Linked DNA regions of Drosophila melanogaster. Changing the gene in region 2 together with the main gene of any one other region gives a genetic interaction. Each region holds a gene or a part of one and is shown on either strand. Other genes may lie near its edges.

The links.
Region 1: of Hml (region 2) and C1GalTA, changing one suppresses a phenotype caused by changing the other (phenotypic suppression), as found in Drosophila melanogaster (one study listed by BioGRID).

What each region holds. Positions count from the first base shown.
Region 1 is NT_033779.5:8,948,206-8,955,333, reverse strand, and holds the start of C1GalTA (core 1 galactosyltransferase A), read left to right. Parts: upstream 1-4,117; 5' UTR 4,118-4,356; exon of another isoform or gene 4,357-4,564; intron 4,565-7,128. Other genes in the region: CG31886 (uncharacterized protein), read left to right, coding at 1-1,312. UniProt on the Drosophila melanogaster protein: Glycosyltransferase that generates the core 1 O-glycan Gal-beta1-3GalNAc-alpha1-Ser/Thr (T antigen), which is a precursor for many extended O-glycans in glycoproteins.
Region 2 is NT_037436.4:13,842,824-13,849,951, reverse strand, and holds the start of Hml (hemolectin), read right to left. Parts: upstream 3,899-7,128; 5' UTR 3,745-3,898; coding exon 3,638-3,744; intron 3,107-3,637; coding exon 3,011-3,106; intron 2,931-3,010; coding exon 2,766-2,930; intron 2,705-2,765; coding exon 2,312-2,704; intron 2,255-2,311; coding exon 2,127-2,254; intron 2,071-2,126; coding exon 1,975-2,070; intron 1,872-1,974; coding exon 1,674-1,871; intron 1,562-1,673; coding exon 1,398-1,561; intron 1,342-1,397; coding exon 1,184-1,341; intron 1,123-1,183; coding exon 968-1,122; intron 903-967; coding exon 300-902; intron 158-299; coding exon 1-157. Other genes in the region: Tsp68C (tetraspanin 68C), read right to left, coding at 4,906-5,937, 6,035-6,091; CG8750 (uncharacterized protein), read left to right, coding at 7,062-7,128.

The DNA.
Region 1 (7,128 bases), on a different chromosome or scaffold from region 2:
GAATCGCAAGCACATTAGGCTGAAGAAGTCGATGACATTGCCGGATGATACGCTTGAATACTGGGGCTTCTTCTTGCTGAAAGGTGCCAAGGTGCGAGTGAAATTCTGCTCCCGCTACGATGGATCCCGCATCCTGATCATCCATGGTCACAGGGAGCTTAATCTTTGCGGTCTGACCGATCACAATAAGAATAAGTTGGGCGCCAATTATGCCAAAGGTCACGAACAGGTGCAGGTGTTCTTCGAAGACAATGTGGAGATCACGGAAGAGAAGGGCAACCAGGATGTGCTAATGGAGCACGAGAACCACGGCGGAGAGGATTTGACTGAGGATATTCCACAGCCGCAGGTGAACATACCTGTCAAGCAAAACAATTCTATACAGCCTAAGTTAATTAGGAAAAAACTGAAAAAGGGCACAATTCATCATGGCGAACATGATATGCATGCTATAACAGATTTGCAAGGATCACACCATACGGAACACATATTGAATCACCATGATCACAGCTCTAATTCTCCAGCACATCATCACAATAGTACTGCCCATCATCGGGAGCACAGTTCGAATATCACAAACGAAGAAACTAGTCGTAATCACATACGAAATGAAGATGAAGATCCAGATCAGAATTCAAGTAAGACCCATTATAGTGCGGAAAGTCCGCCTCACCGGGAACGTCTCAAAAGACACAATAGGGTAGCCCATAGGAATCAGAAGAGACAGGATCTTTACGATACGCTTTATAAAAGATCAAAGAGGGAGAATGTCTACGATAGAAAGACGATCCATGGAGGAAATGCTATAAATTTTACGGAAACGGACGAGTCGAATTCGGTGTCCAGCTTTGAGACAGGACTATTTCAGTGTTTCAATGGAATGATCCTGCTGCAGGAGTTCTTCAGGCCAAAAAATGAATGCTCAAATCCGCACATAATGGACACTTCGCCCAACAAGAGTTCCATGGTGGTGCACAACGTCATCGAGGATGGGTACTACTATTATATATTCTACAGCGACAATGATCACGTTCAAAACGAGATCCACGCCATATTCGATATTTACAAGCCGACGTATCAGTACTCAAACATGAGCGAGTCACAAAGCTGTCTGAATACCACAAATTGCACATTCAACATCAGTTTCCTTTCGGATGAGATTGTGGTGGTGGAGGTTCCAACACGGGATGGTATCGAGCACGAGGAGGACGATATAACCAATCTGATCTCCACCTGTCATCCGCGCAGCGAGATATACGCCATCTTTCCCATTACGGTGCTGGTGCTGATCCTTTGCTGCTCCTTCCTGTAGTCCTCCTGATCCAATATTATTAATATACTATTGTGATATTTATGGTGAGGTAACTACCGGGTGATATACTCGCTTGTGAGTGTGTTAACGTTATGGCCGGCCCCAAAACGAGAGCTTTTAAAATAGCCATAGAATATTCCATATCGGTTATACACACACGGAATGAACAGTCTGAACAAATCGTTATCAATATTCGTAGATTTTATGCTAGACTAGAATGTAGCCTAAGACGCAAGCATTTTTTGGTCTACAAATGAAAATGGGAAAATAGTAAGATAAAATATGTAAATTGTATATCGTGTACAAATAAATGTAGATACCAAGTAATTTTAAGATGAAATTGTAGTACTTATCAATTAATTCAATTATTCTCATTTTATAAACGACTTTGATCTTTTTGTTTACCTGAACACATTTTAAAGACAATTCTTATGTAGTCATTTGAAGAGGATTAGTTTTAATGCTTTTGTTGACTTTGTATAAGTGATTTGAATTTTAAGGAAATTTTCATTAGTTTTTTAATAAAAATAAAATTGATTGTAATCAAGCGTTGTAATTTTTCATTTTATACTCAATGTCTACATTTTAACGTTGCCGCAAAATATTTTCCACTGGCTTCAGTTTTAGGAGAGAAAAAAAATTTTGTTGATTCTAGTTATTTTAGATTAATTTGCACACCACTCAAAGCTAATTTGCCGATCATTTGTGTGAGTCTTTTCCTAATTTGGCCACGGGAGTAATGCAAATATTTACATAAAATTCATGTACACATACATGCCTGGAAGAAATGAAATAACATTTTCATTAAAAATGAATAAATTTACTGTCTAGTCTTTTAGTTCATACACTCAATTGAGCAGCGTAAACAAAGTGCCTTGGATTATCCGATTAACATAGTTGCATTAGATTAAGTTATAAAAGAAAATAATAAAATAGTAAAAACAGTATTCAGTAAAAAAAAAATTATTTTTAAAGAAGGGAAAAAAAATGAAAAAAAAACATCATTCAAATTTAGCAGATCGTTGGGAACGTCAGCAAATGAAAGCTGATTGCTACGAATCTAATGTTGATCTACACTGTATATACTTGTGGTTGTGTAGATAATGTGTAAGATTACAGTAAAAAAAATAAAGTCAGTCAGCGATTTTTATACCCGTTACTCGTAGCTTAAGAGGGTATTCTCGACTTGTTGAAAAGGGTGTAACGGATCTTGACACGCGGCATTTTTATTTCGAAACATCACGCCGACACTTTTAAAACATTTTTTTTGAGTAACGGGTATCTGGTAGTCACGAAACTCGACTGTAGCGTTTAAAAAACTCCTGAACTCTCATTCGTTGCTCACTAATTAGAAGACAGAATTTGCCCTTATCAGAGTTGTCAGATAATGCTAACAAGAAATACTATCTTATCTGAAGTGATCGATTGCAAAAAGTTATATGAACTCATTAACCAGCCCCACATCAATAAATATTTATTAAAGGCATTCGTCACCAATTGCATTAATTTCGATTTCTGGGTTTAAAAATATTTAACGTATATTCACTAATTTTGGCTGACAACATGGAGTTACCTTAATAAATTTTCAAGTAGTCTATGTTCAGGTTTCGAATATGAAGTATTAGAAGTCTTTAGCATCACAGAAGCCGGTTGTTAATGTACAATAGATAACGAATCAAACAAAAACGTTTCTTAACGAGTTTGCGCGTATACATAACTTGTTTAATTACAGTTGCGATATCGCAAATTTTTAACGTACAATGCAAAAAATTTCTTGCATTCAAATTTGATGTTAGTTATATTTTCTAATAACGGTTTTGGACAACTATTTTTATAGCTTGTGAAATCTTACTAGAAAAAAAAAAAAAAAAAATACAAAAATCTTATATTTTTAAACGGGGTTTTCTCTATAACTTGGTAAAAAAAAGGTGGCACATCTAACGAAAAAAAACACTGTTTTATACTGCTCATAAGCATACCTAACTATCCCTATCATAATTTTAATGATTTTCAAAAATCAAAATTTGAACAAGTTTTCGGTAATTTTATATTCTTTCCTTTCTAGATTGTGATTTTTGGAGATATTTCAGACGTACAATTATCAATTTATATATTATGCACATATATTTGTATTCATTCTTTGAGAAAGTAATATTCGAAAGAGTGGACACAAATCTTAGAACCAACCCCAAAAACAAACCCTTAAGATAGTTTCCAACAGCTGTTTTGCCAAATATATGGTGACTAGTAGCGAGTGATGAGAGAAACAGGCCATTGATAAATCGAAGTCACACCACTTATATATACAAACTACATATCTTACCTATAATATTTTAGTTTAATAGAAGTTTTTTTTATAATTTTCAAATCACTCTCGCTCTTTATAGAAAGCCGGTACCGGTTTACACCCCCTTTCCGACACAAGCATATAAAAAGAACAGCGAGAGAGAGAGAGAGTGAGCTTTGGTTCTCTCACTTAATTCTGTTGATTGCACAGGTAGAAACAAATAACTTGTATACTGCGATATTTAAATTTATTTGTTTTTGTACTAATTTGTACTATATTCTGGTTAAATATGAAATAGTTAAAAATACTTATTGGGAACTGATATTTTAAATAATATATTTAATAATACTTGGTGTAATTAAATTCAAATTTTTTACTTTTATTGCACTAGACAGCAATAATAGCTTATGTTTCAACTTCGATCATAATCATAAATTTTTTTAATTTACAACTTTCAACATTTTCTTGCCAGTGTACTCTGTTCTCTTCGTTCTCGCTCGTGCTCAGTTTTAGAATTCGCGGCAGTTGTTTTTGTTTGTCCGGCGCGTTCGCTTGCTTCACTTATGCGCTTGTTGAAAATCAAGGAAAGGGCGCGGAAAATAAGTTTAATTAAATATTTCGAGTGGCTCGACTAACACAGCAATTAAGCGAATGTGCAAAACGTGAAAGCAGTTGTGAATAAAACGCACTCATCGCGAAATTAAAAGCTTTTTGGGAGCGTCCTGCGATGGAGAAACGCGTGAGGAAAAATCAATTCGTAAGTAAATGGGCGACGCGAAAAACGGTGATTTAAAAATCAAATGAAATGAAACGCGTGCGGAATTTACCTGAACGGAAAACTAATCGGTCAGCAAAAATTGCGTTTTGTGCCAAAACAGAAAGCGCAATAAATATAATATACAATTGCGCATATGGTGTATGTACATAGAGTGCAAGAAGAACGTGACAAGGAAGAGCAAACGAAGGTGAAGAGTGTGAATAAAACCAAAACAATAAGAACGAACAAGTTTAAGCCACTGTTACGGCAAGTAACGCACGAGAATATACATATGTACATATATTGGTTTCCAACTGGAAACTGAAATTGACTAGAAGGAAGTGGAAGGAAGAATTGCCTGACGGCCTTTCCTTCCAGTCCGGCCACTCACACTACCAAAGCCCCTTGCTGCAGGATGTTAAAATAAAGCTAATGAAGAAAAGAATTGAGAACAGTATAAAAAAAATAGCTAAACTCTTGGGTCCCCATTCCTAAAATATTTGTAAACTCTGATCCTATGCCTAAAAATTATAAAATCAATGCAAAAAGTTTAAATTATAAGGTACAGCATTTATTAAATTTAACGTTCTGTTCCAAGTGTGTTTGAGGCATTTAAGGCGACAACTCTAATATGTTATCTGTTTGAGGGTCGTTGGTCTTGAGTATTTTTAATAACCCGCTAAACACAAAGGAATATGTTGATAACTAGGCGAGAAGTGGCTTCCCAATTCGTGATGTCTTATCCTGGTGGTTGTTGTTGTCTCTGTTAATGTAATGACATTCCCCAAACAGCTGCATTTTGGTTTCTCGCTCTCCGGCTCTCTTCAGTTGTCATTTCCGTTATGCCCTGCCATGCACTCAGCCCTCCCCCTCTATTCCCTTTTGCATCCGGGGGGTGAATTAACTGCAGCCGAAACGCATTTACTTTAATTTATTTGTGGTTCCAGTGGGCGTCACTTTCTCTCCCTCTCATTTTTATCTCGACAGAGAGAGAGAGAGCAGCACATGCTATTGTGCGTGCATTTGTATTTGTATTTCTCGTCTCTGCTCTCTGATTAGCCTTCTCTTGTTATTGTTGCGGGGATAATTCATATGCAGATTGCACCTAGTGATTGCCATTCAAATTCAACTGATAGTGGAAGCTGGAACTTGTACTATAAACATACATATGGTTCTTCCTGCTTCAAGTAAAAAAACAGTAGCCATTTCCATCAGTCATCAAAGTAATGAACTCTCCTTGCAACATATGGGACTGAATAAGAATAGTACTTTATGCTACTTTTAGCATGTTTTCGTTTTCCAGAAGAGAACTACCTAGTAAATGAGTTTTAATAATTATGAATGACTCTAAAAGACTGATCCTTAAAGAGCTCCTTACTTAATGTATTATTACATTATTTTTAAAAATATTCAATACCAAGTCAAATAGTTTTTAATGTATTATTTCTTGTATTGGGTGTATTTGTTCTTAAATGTGTGTTATTTCGTAAAGCCAAAAATCTGAATTTGAATAGACTAACCCAATAACCTTAAACCAGCTGTGCCATGCCCCGCGGGCTATACTATAGAATATTGTTCAATGGCCCCAAAAAGGTGCCATTTCACGTGAGATTCAGGTGAATAGCGCTATACCTATTCATTAATCAGCAATCAATTATCTATCAGCAAAGCCTTTTAATCAATATTTAATTAAGAACTCACATTCCGACTTTTCTTCTTATACATTGCTTTTGTCGATGTCGTTTGAACAACAGAGTAATAGATATTGTTCATTGGGACAGAAAATAATAGTTACTTGAGAACTCTTATAGATAAGCTCTCCGTAAAGTATACAAAATTTTAAGGAATGGAATTCTTTAAGGTTGAACTAATGGCATAATCACTTTTCTCATTCGTTCGTTATATGAATCATATTAATATTTCCATTTTCATTTGCTGTATTGTACTATTACACGATGAACAAAGAAACAGAGTTTTAAAAACGAATGCCATGTTTTTTTTTTGTGCCTGATAACAATTCCGCAGTCCAGTTCCACTTTGATAAACAGCTGCCGACATCATTGTGCCAGTCCTTACTGTATTGTTTATCTGAAAGGGAAGTTACTGAAAGTGAATTGAAATAAAACGAGAATCATAGAGCCAAAACATTAAGTACAGGGTACTTTGCTTATACGGGCTCCAAAAATAAAATACAATAACTGAATTAAAATATTTGCGGGATCGCAGAGCGTGGCTGATTTTATTGACCGCAGATGAAAAGCGGCCAAACAAAACAATTGTACAATTGGTTTGGTTTCTGGTTTTAGTTTGTCTTTCTGGCCCATTCTGTTTTTACATTTTTTTTTTTAAATTACGATGAATGGACTGTCACGCTAGTCTGAGTATAGGGCAGCAAAAAAGCAAAAGGCACTCTATTAACTGAATGACATAATAATAAATTTAGTTTAGCTTAATTTCTATTAACAGGTGCTCCATTACGCGCTCTCGATGAATTAGTTAAGAACTAGATTATTATTATTATTATACATATATAGTGAATAAGAATTTAAGCTACATAAGTTGACTTTTGGGAAAACTTAACTACAATATTAAGCTGGTTTTGAAAAACCCATAAATATAGTTATGCTTATCTATTTGAGTTATGATGAGGTAAACGTTTTATGTCAAGGGTTCTACACACACACATTGAGGGAATTTTTTAAGCTTTACAATGCCACAAAATATTTTTTTTTATTATCTGTGCAAGGTACTACATCTTTGACGAGACAAACT
Region 2 (7,128 bases):
GTGATGCACGCCTCCTTGTACTGCACAGTTCCTTCCGGACAAAAACAGCCTTCGTTGCATGCGCCTTTTGAGGCTGGTAGCGCTAGGTCTGAATCGCAAGTCGGCTCCACATTTGGACCACAGGCCTGATAAACGCGCCCAAAGCCACAACTGATGGCTGGAAAAGAAAAAGAGATTATCAGAATGTCGGTTAAAAAGTTATTCAAATCGAAGCAAATTTTCTGTTTTACAATCCCGCTAGTTACTTTCTCAAGCTAGATTACTTTCTTTTGATCCAATTTTTGATTTTGCTGACTTACGACAGATTTCCAGATTGCGCCAACCGTGCTCCAGTTTAATGCCCTTGAAGGCGCACTCCTTGGCCAGCATGGCAATGGCATCGCAATTGCAGCTTTCCGGGTGCTCTCGATTGGCACAATTGCAGTAGTCCGCCATGCAGGTGCGGATCAGGGCGTCGTAATTAAAGGGTTTAATGCAGTCACCGAGCTTTTCGTTGGCCAACAGACGCTCACAGACTGATACAGCCTTTTGTAGCTTAGATTGCTCACAGGAATCCATACCGAACTCCATCTCTGCACTATTCTCCACCTGGCACAATTCACTGCGATCCTCGACGCGCCAGGCATCTGCGAAGGCCTTGACCGTGGCCAACTTTTTGCCCGTTCTGGAGGTCAAGTCCGTGTTAGGATCACCATCCAGGGTTCCACAGAGACCTCCAACTTTTCCCCACATTTGGGGTCCCGCCTGCACGGACACATACTGCCGATGATCCCAATCCAGCTTGAGACCTACAGACTCGAGATCGATCTGCACATGCTGGGCCACCGGCATGACTTTCATGCCCATAACCTGGACAGGCATTGGAAGCTTCTTAATCGGTGTGGTCAGCTGCATGGTGCCATCTAAAAGGAATTTTATTTTATAAATTATTTCACATGTTTTATCATGTTGGTATCAAAGCTCTTACTCAGGTTTTCAAAAGTGTATAGAACCGATTGCCATAGAATTTTCAAGGTGTGTGCGCAGCCATACCCAGAGCCATAAGGACAAGCCTTCAGGATAATGTCGAATGTACCCGAGACCTTGTCTGTAATTAGCGTGTGTGAACAGGATAGAGGAGCCCTGTTGGGAACAATGGATTAAGCAAACCGATTTACTTAAATTTTTATAGCACTCCGCTTACTTGAAAACCAGACCATCAAAGGTTTTCATGTTAATACCACCCCAAGTGGTGCAAAGTGCTGGTCGTGGGGTTTTGTCGATGACGATATCCAAATTGTTGCTCTGGTACAAGGAATAACTGCTCATGGTGACAACAGTTTCCTCCGAAGACCACCATTCCTAAATTCATTTTCTATTAAATTTTTTTTATATGGAAATGATGCAAATTAACGTACACTTCTTCTTTCCAGATCCCGATATTTTGCGAGCAGAGCAAGTAGTTTTTGACGTTCTGTTTGGAGTTCATAAGCCATTTCCCCACTCATTCCGCGATGATAAACGCCATTCTGATGCGTTACACCTTGCATGGATGATGTGGACCGAACGGTGTATCCAGGAGCTGTAGTATTTTGATTTTAGAAGAAAAAAATCTACCTTTAATTTTATAATCTTAATATCGGACTGATAATACTTGGACAACTCTTATCAACAGTTATGTTGAGGATACTTACGGAAAATACACTTTGGAAGCGGGGCAGGCAGATATTGTCCTTGCAGATAGTTACACTTGTACTCTATGTCAATTCGTCCTTGGATTTTTAATCCCGGTACTTGAGGACAACTAAATGTGCAACGAGCGTCGTCCATTTCGTAGGCACACTTGTAGTTTCCATTAAAATTTGTATTAGTCACATTGCATCTGTCAATGTCTGTAAAATGTAATAAGAAATTTAAAAAAAATTAAAAATTTTTCAAATACGATAACAAAAATGTTATCATGTTAATATTTTGAAGTATAATCTGTTTACTTACTATATTGACAATGGTCTCCGCGGAACATCTTAGAGCACTGACAGACATTGAAACTAATGCACTGACCTCCGTTTTGGCAGGCGGGCGCACAAGTAGCTGAAAGAAAAAGTTTGAAACAAAAAACTCCGCATTTTTTTGAGGTTTCTGCTCACGAGCACAATCTGGAGTTTTGGATAGCCCAGTTTTAGTGTGCACCCACTGGCCATTGCGGCACTCAATGTTCGTAATTCCGCTGCCGTCTGGAAACTGAAATCCTCTCATGCACTCCGCGTGGCACATACTTAAAAAATAATTGGATTGTAGTATCCCTATGTAAAGCCAGACCCATAGAGCTCACTTGTTCTTGCAGGATACTTTGGAGTTTTTCGGTGCCTTCGGAAAGGATGCACATATGGACTTCTTTTGCTGACACAGCGGACCGTAGTAGTTCTCCGGACACTGGCACACTCCGGCGGAAATGCAGATGCCATTGTTTTGGCATGGAGGTGTACATTGTGCCTGACAGGGTGGCACCTCCGCAAACACGGAGTTGCCTATGATCCATCCATCATTGCTGCAGAACATCTCCAGGACTGAAACGTCCTGTGCGAAACTATAGCCAGTTGGGCAGAAGACTTTGCAACGACCATTGTGGCATTCAGACTGAACATTGGACGGCAGTTGGAGGGCTGAACATTTTCCGAAGGCTGCTAGAAAGTGTCCTCCGCCTCCGTAAAAGTTGCCCTGACTTCTGTTGAAGATTTTATTTTAATTCTTCGGATACACTTCATAGTTTTTTTTTTTATAATTACCCCTGGCCACCCATGCCTAAAAAGCCCAAGGTTTTGGTAAGCAGTCCTCCAGCGGCATGAGACGTCTTTATCCCGCCATAACCACCACCTCCACCTCCACCAACACCATATCCTCCTCCGAATCCACTACGGCCTCCTTCAGAACCGCCATAAGTGTATCGTGCACTATAAAATAATGTAATCCAGTTAAATAATCCCCCGCTGAACTTGGCGAATTATCGCGGTTTCTTCAGACTTATCATTACCTAACTGCTGGGGCTTTGAGGATGTTGAAGCTAATGTGGCGTTCGTTCCGTTCGTTCTCCTTATCGACGACTTCCGGTGCGGCCTGGAGCAGCGGGCTAAATTCGCAAATAATCATTAGGACACAAAGCTTAATTTTACGCAGCTAGCAATTAGAATGTTGAAAGGACAATATTTTCTAGGATTTTAGCGAAAGGACTTATTTTTACAGAATCGTATTGGTAACTTTGAAGACAACTTAAAAAAAAAACACTTTTTTCAATATGGATGCGAGTTGTGAAATCTTTTTCCTTAAGTTACAGTTTGTTTATACTTAATGCAACGACATTAATAAAAGTAAAGTTTCGAAGTAAAAGTATTTCCAATTTAATAGAGAGTTTGTTTTGTGTATATATAAATCTATTTATATCTTCATTTTTTAACTTAGATGGTTTATTCAATTGTTATAATTTAAGGATATAACAATATTATCGAAGAAAAATCTGGTAAGACCCACAGTTCACATGCATGTATGTATATTAATGTTCACAATGTATTTCTCCAAAATAATTATTTTTGAAGACGTATTTATTCCGCTTTACGAGTATTTATTTATTTGCACAAAAACTGTAACTTTCTCATCCACTCACTTGATATCCTCGTCGTCATCATCGGTTATTATAATGTCTCCATTCTCTGTCAAAACAGATGAAATAAAAAGCAGCCACAACGCCACAAAAATCACTTTGTTAGCCATTTTGTTAGGCTAATCGGAAATTGTTGGTTTAATTGTATACACAGGAAAATCCTGTTGATAGTTAGCACTGGTAATCCATTTCTGCAAGGACACTGCCAAGCTGTTAGTCCTGTTTAAAATCCAGCTTAGAACTCACTTTTAAAAACTTTTACACTTAGCACTTTTTCACTGTAATTATATCCACTGAACTTGACGATTTCGATGCGCGATCGCGACTAATGTTCCCCATGAATGGGGAGCCCCTTTTATAGGCCCGATTCCGTAGCTGGTTTATCAGAACACTCGGAATTGTTAGGCTCAAGCCCACTATTTATCCACGATCCGCAAAAAAAGCACCATCATCAGCTTATCGGCATCGCCGTTCTTAAATTAGCAAAGCGAATGTAACAAATCTGTGCCAAGTTTAAGCTGATGCTAATGCCTTCCTGATAGCGGCATTTCCGGGACCTATGTCATAATTTTACTAGAGTCCACGATGGGTGTAAGAATTTTCTGACTTGGGGTAGCCCCCTCTGCTGATATGTCGCCATTCAAAAGTTATATGGTCAACGAAGAGCTGCTGGATGTAAAGCGTCCTACGCAGAAACTTCTCCAATGGCATTGAACTTGGGTGGTGGAATATAATCACTTTAATGTTGGCCAAGGGTGAACTAATTTCAAATATTCAACGTACTACATTGTGACCGTTAAAAGTTATCGGTTCAAGCAGTGCAAATGCTGAATGCAAGCAGTTTACGGTTCATGCGTTCGAGCAGCAGCTTGTCTCGTAGCTCGCTAGAGGGCGCATTGGTGTCAAAATTAGTAAAGTGTATTGAACCTGCCTACAGAAATAACTTTTGGGTACCAAATTTAATTAATGCACGTATTTAAAACAATGAAAACGTTTAAAGTGGAAAAAATCTTCAGATTTACTTCAAAGTAAGCCATCGAAATTAGATTTATGGTTGAAAAACACTGAATACATTAGAAAATATATTTAATATATTCCACACTTAAATAAATAATATTACTAAATATACTTATAATTATACTACTGAGCAAATACATACTGCTGTGATATATATAGATAACACTTTTAAATTTCATACTTTCCTCTCTTGGCTTAGCTTTATATTAGCTTAAGCTATACGTGTCCATTTGTGAGCAGGATAAGGTTTTCAATTAGACCAAATAATTCCTCATTTGTGTTGGTCGGTTGGCTGGGCTTGTTCTTAAATTATGTTGTTTGTACAAGTCTCTCGGTTTTATATACAACTCCTTGAAATCCTCACTGCTGACATGTCTGCTAGCGGGTCCCAGATATATTCCGTCTCCACTGTGATTGGAATTTTCTCTCAGTTCAACATCAGGTTCGTATATATTCTCGATTAGGGTTTGTCGCGATTTTACTTTTTGAGTCCGCATTTCCTGAACAGGTTTCTTAAGCCTAGCCCGTTGCGAAGCAAGTCCGGTGCAGCTCATGATAATGGCGAGTAGGACACAAAATTCAATCATGGCCAATATTAGACTGGCGCCAAGAAAGATGCTGTACTGTTCGCGATACCAGTTGTCCAGATGGGGCAGACATGACTCCGTGTGGCGTTCCCTTTCGTAGGACAATCGTTCCAGAGACTGACACATCGATTCATTGGCCGGCTTGGGGTCCAGATATGCCATGGAATGTCCGGCATTCTTAAGAAAACAGCAACTTAGCGGCACCGGCCAATTCCTTTGTCCATAGCCCTGTAATCTCCACAATGATGTGTCGTAGTCCAAGGAACTTCTCATCCCACAACATCCGAACCGGACCTGTGCCAAATCCAAGGCATTGGTAAACTGCTCCTGCCCCGGAACTCCATAGTTGCTCTGCAACGATCGCACCATCTGAGTCTCATCTAAGCTGATTCCCAGGCAATGTGGCCACAATGTGATGGCCAGGCACAAAACCGATTCGGTCAGCAGGAGCACCACAACGCTCAGGAAGTATATGGTTAGAAAGCAATAGGTGTGAAGGCAACTGGCCCAGAAACCCACAACGGCAGCCAGAGTAGCCACAAATCCCGCAATCGCCACACCCAGTGCTATATAAAAAAGCAGCGGCTGCGGAAGTGAGCTCAGCCGATCGCTGGATGCAGCCAAAAGTCTAGAGAGCAGAATGCGTTTGTTATCGGAGAAGATATATAGACCTGATACTACCAGCAGCAAGCCACATATCTGAAAAATGCAATTAGTCAATAAATATAGCATATAGGAACTACTAAACTTGCTAAAGCAGGAAGCTATACAACTTTCACTTTAGTTAGTCACTCACCAAAAACAAAAAGTTACATAGATTGAGCACAAATTTGTAATTAAAACAGCAGGCCATGTTTACATCAATGCGGGTGTGGGTCTTTCAAACTTAATTAGAACCAAACGTTTTATGACGAAATGCAATTATTGCGACATGTACAAAGATCAGTGATGGCGATGATGTATATCTGGATGTACTGCATGCTCAACAGTGTAGATGTGTAGATACTCCAAATCCGAAACTTCAAATCAGCACCCGTGTATTTCAATTCGGATATATTCAATGCGACGCCATGGACAGTACAATTTAAACTAAACAGTGCGGAGATGCAACATTCTGTGGCAAGTTCAGAGAAGCGAAAGTAAGAGACCACAGAGAATTCGCTCGTAACTCTCTACAAACCCCATGATGGGTAACTCTCATTGAAACTTTTCAAGCGTCGCGCTTAGCTTAGCAAAACAAAACCGAAAACGCTGTCCATCCACCAAAAATTTTAAACTGGAGACTGAAAAGAGAAACCCATGCATGGGGCGCAATGCTCGTTGCTCTTATTTGATCACTGCCACCATCTCCGTGTGCAACCATTTGGAACCGTTTTCCAACAAAAGCCGACAAGCAACAAACAATTACACGAGTTGAACTTTAATTATTACTAGATACCGGAATTTATGTAAAGTTCTTTTTATGGATCACAATGTATTGTGGTTAAGATATGTTTGCTAAACCCGTTACTCATCGTTTTACTTCCCACTTTTTTTTTTTTAAGCTATAGCTTATTATTGAAAGGGTATATAAACTTCGACTGGCCAATGCTAGTTTCATTTCTAGTATGTAAGGGTATACCTTACGGTATATTGATTTTAAAAATATAACATATTACTTTAGCTGTAAATCCTAGTTGTAAATCAATCCTAGTAGGCTTGACCTAACACTTCACCACAGACTAGGCCTTGGCAAATTAAAATCTTGTTTAAAATAATTTGTGTATATTTAAAATCATTCGAACTGATAGAGCCATTTGGAGCGAGTGAATGCGAACCAAATTATGCTTAAGATTCCAAATCGGCGCAAGATGCCTGTGTCAGAGCAACAGCCTCGAGTCATCAAGATAG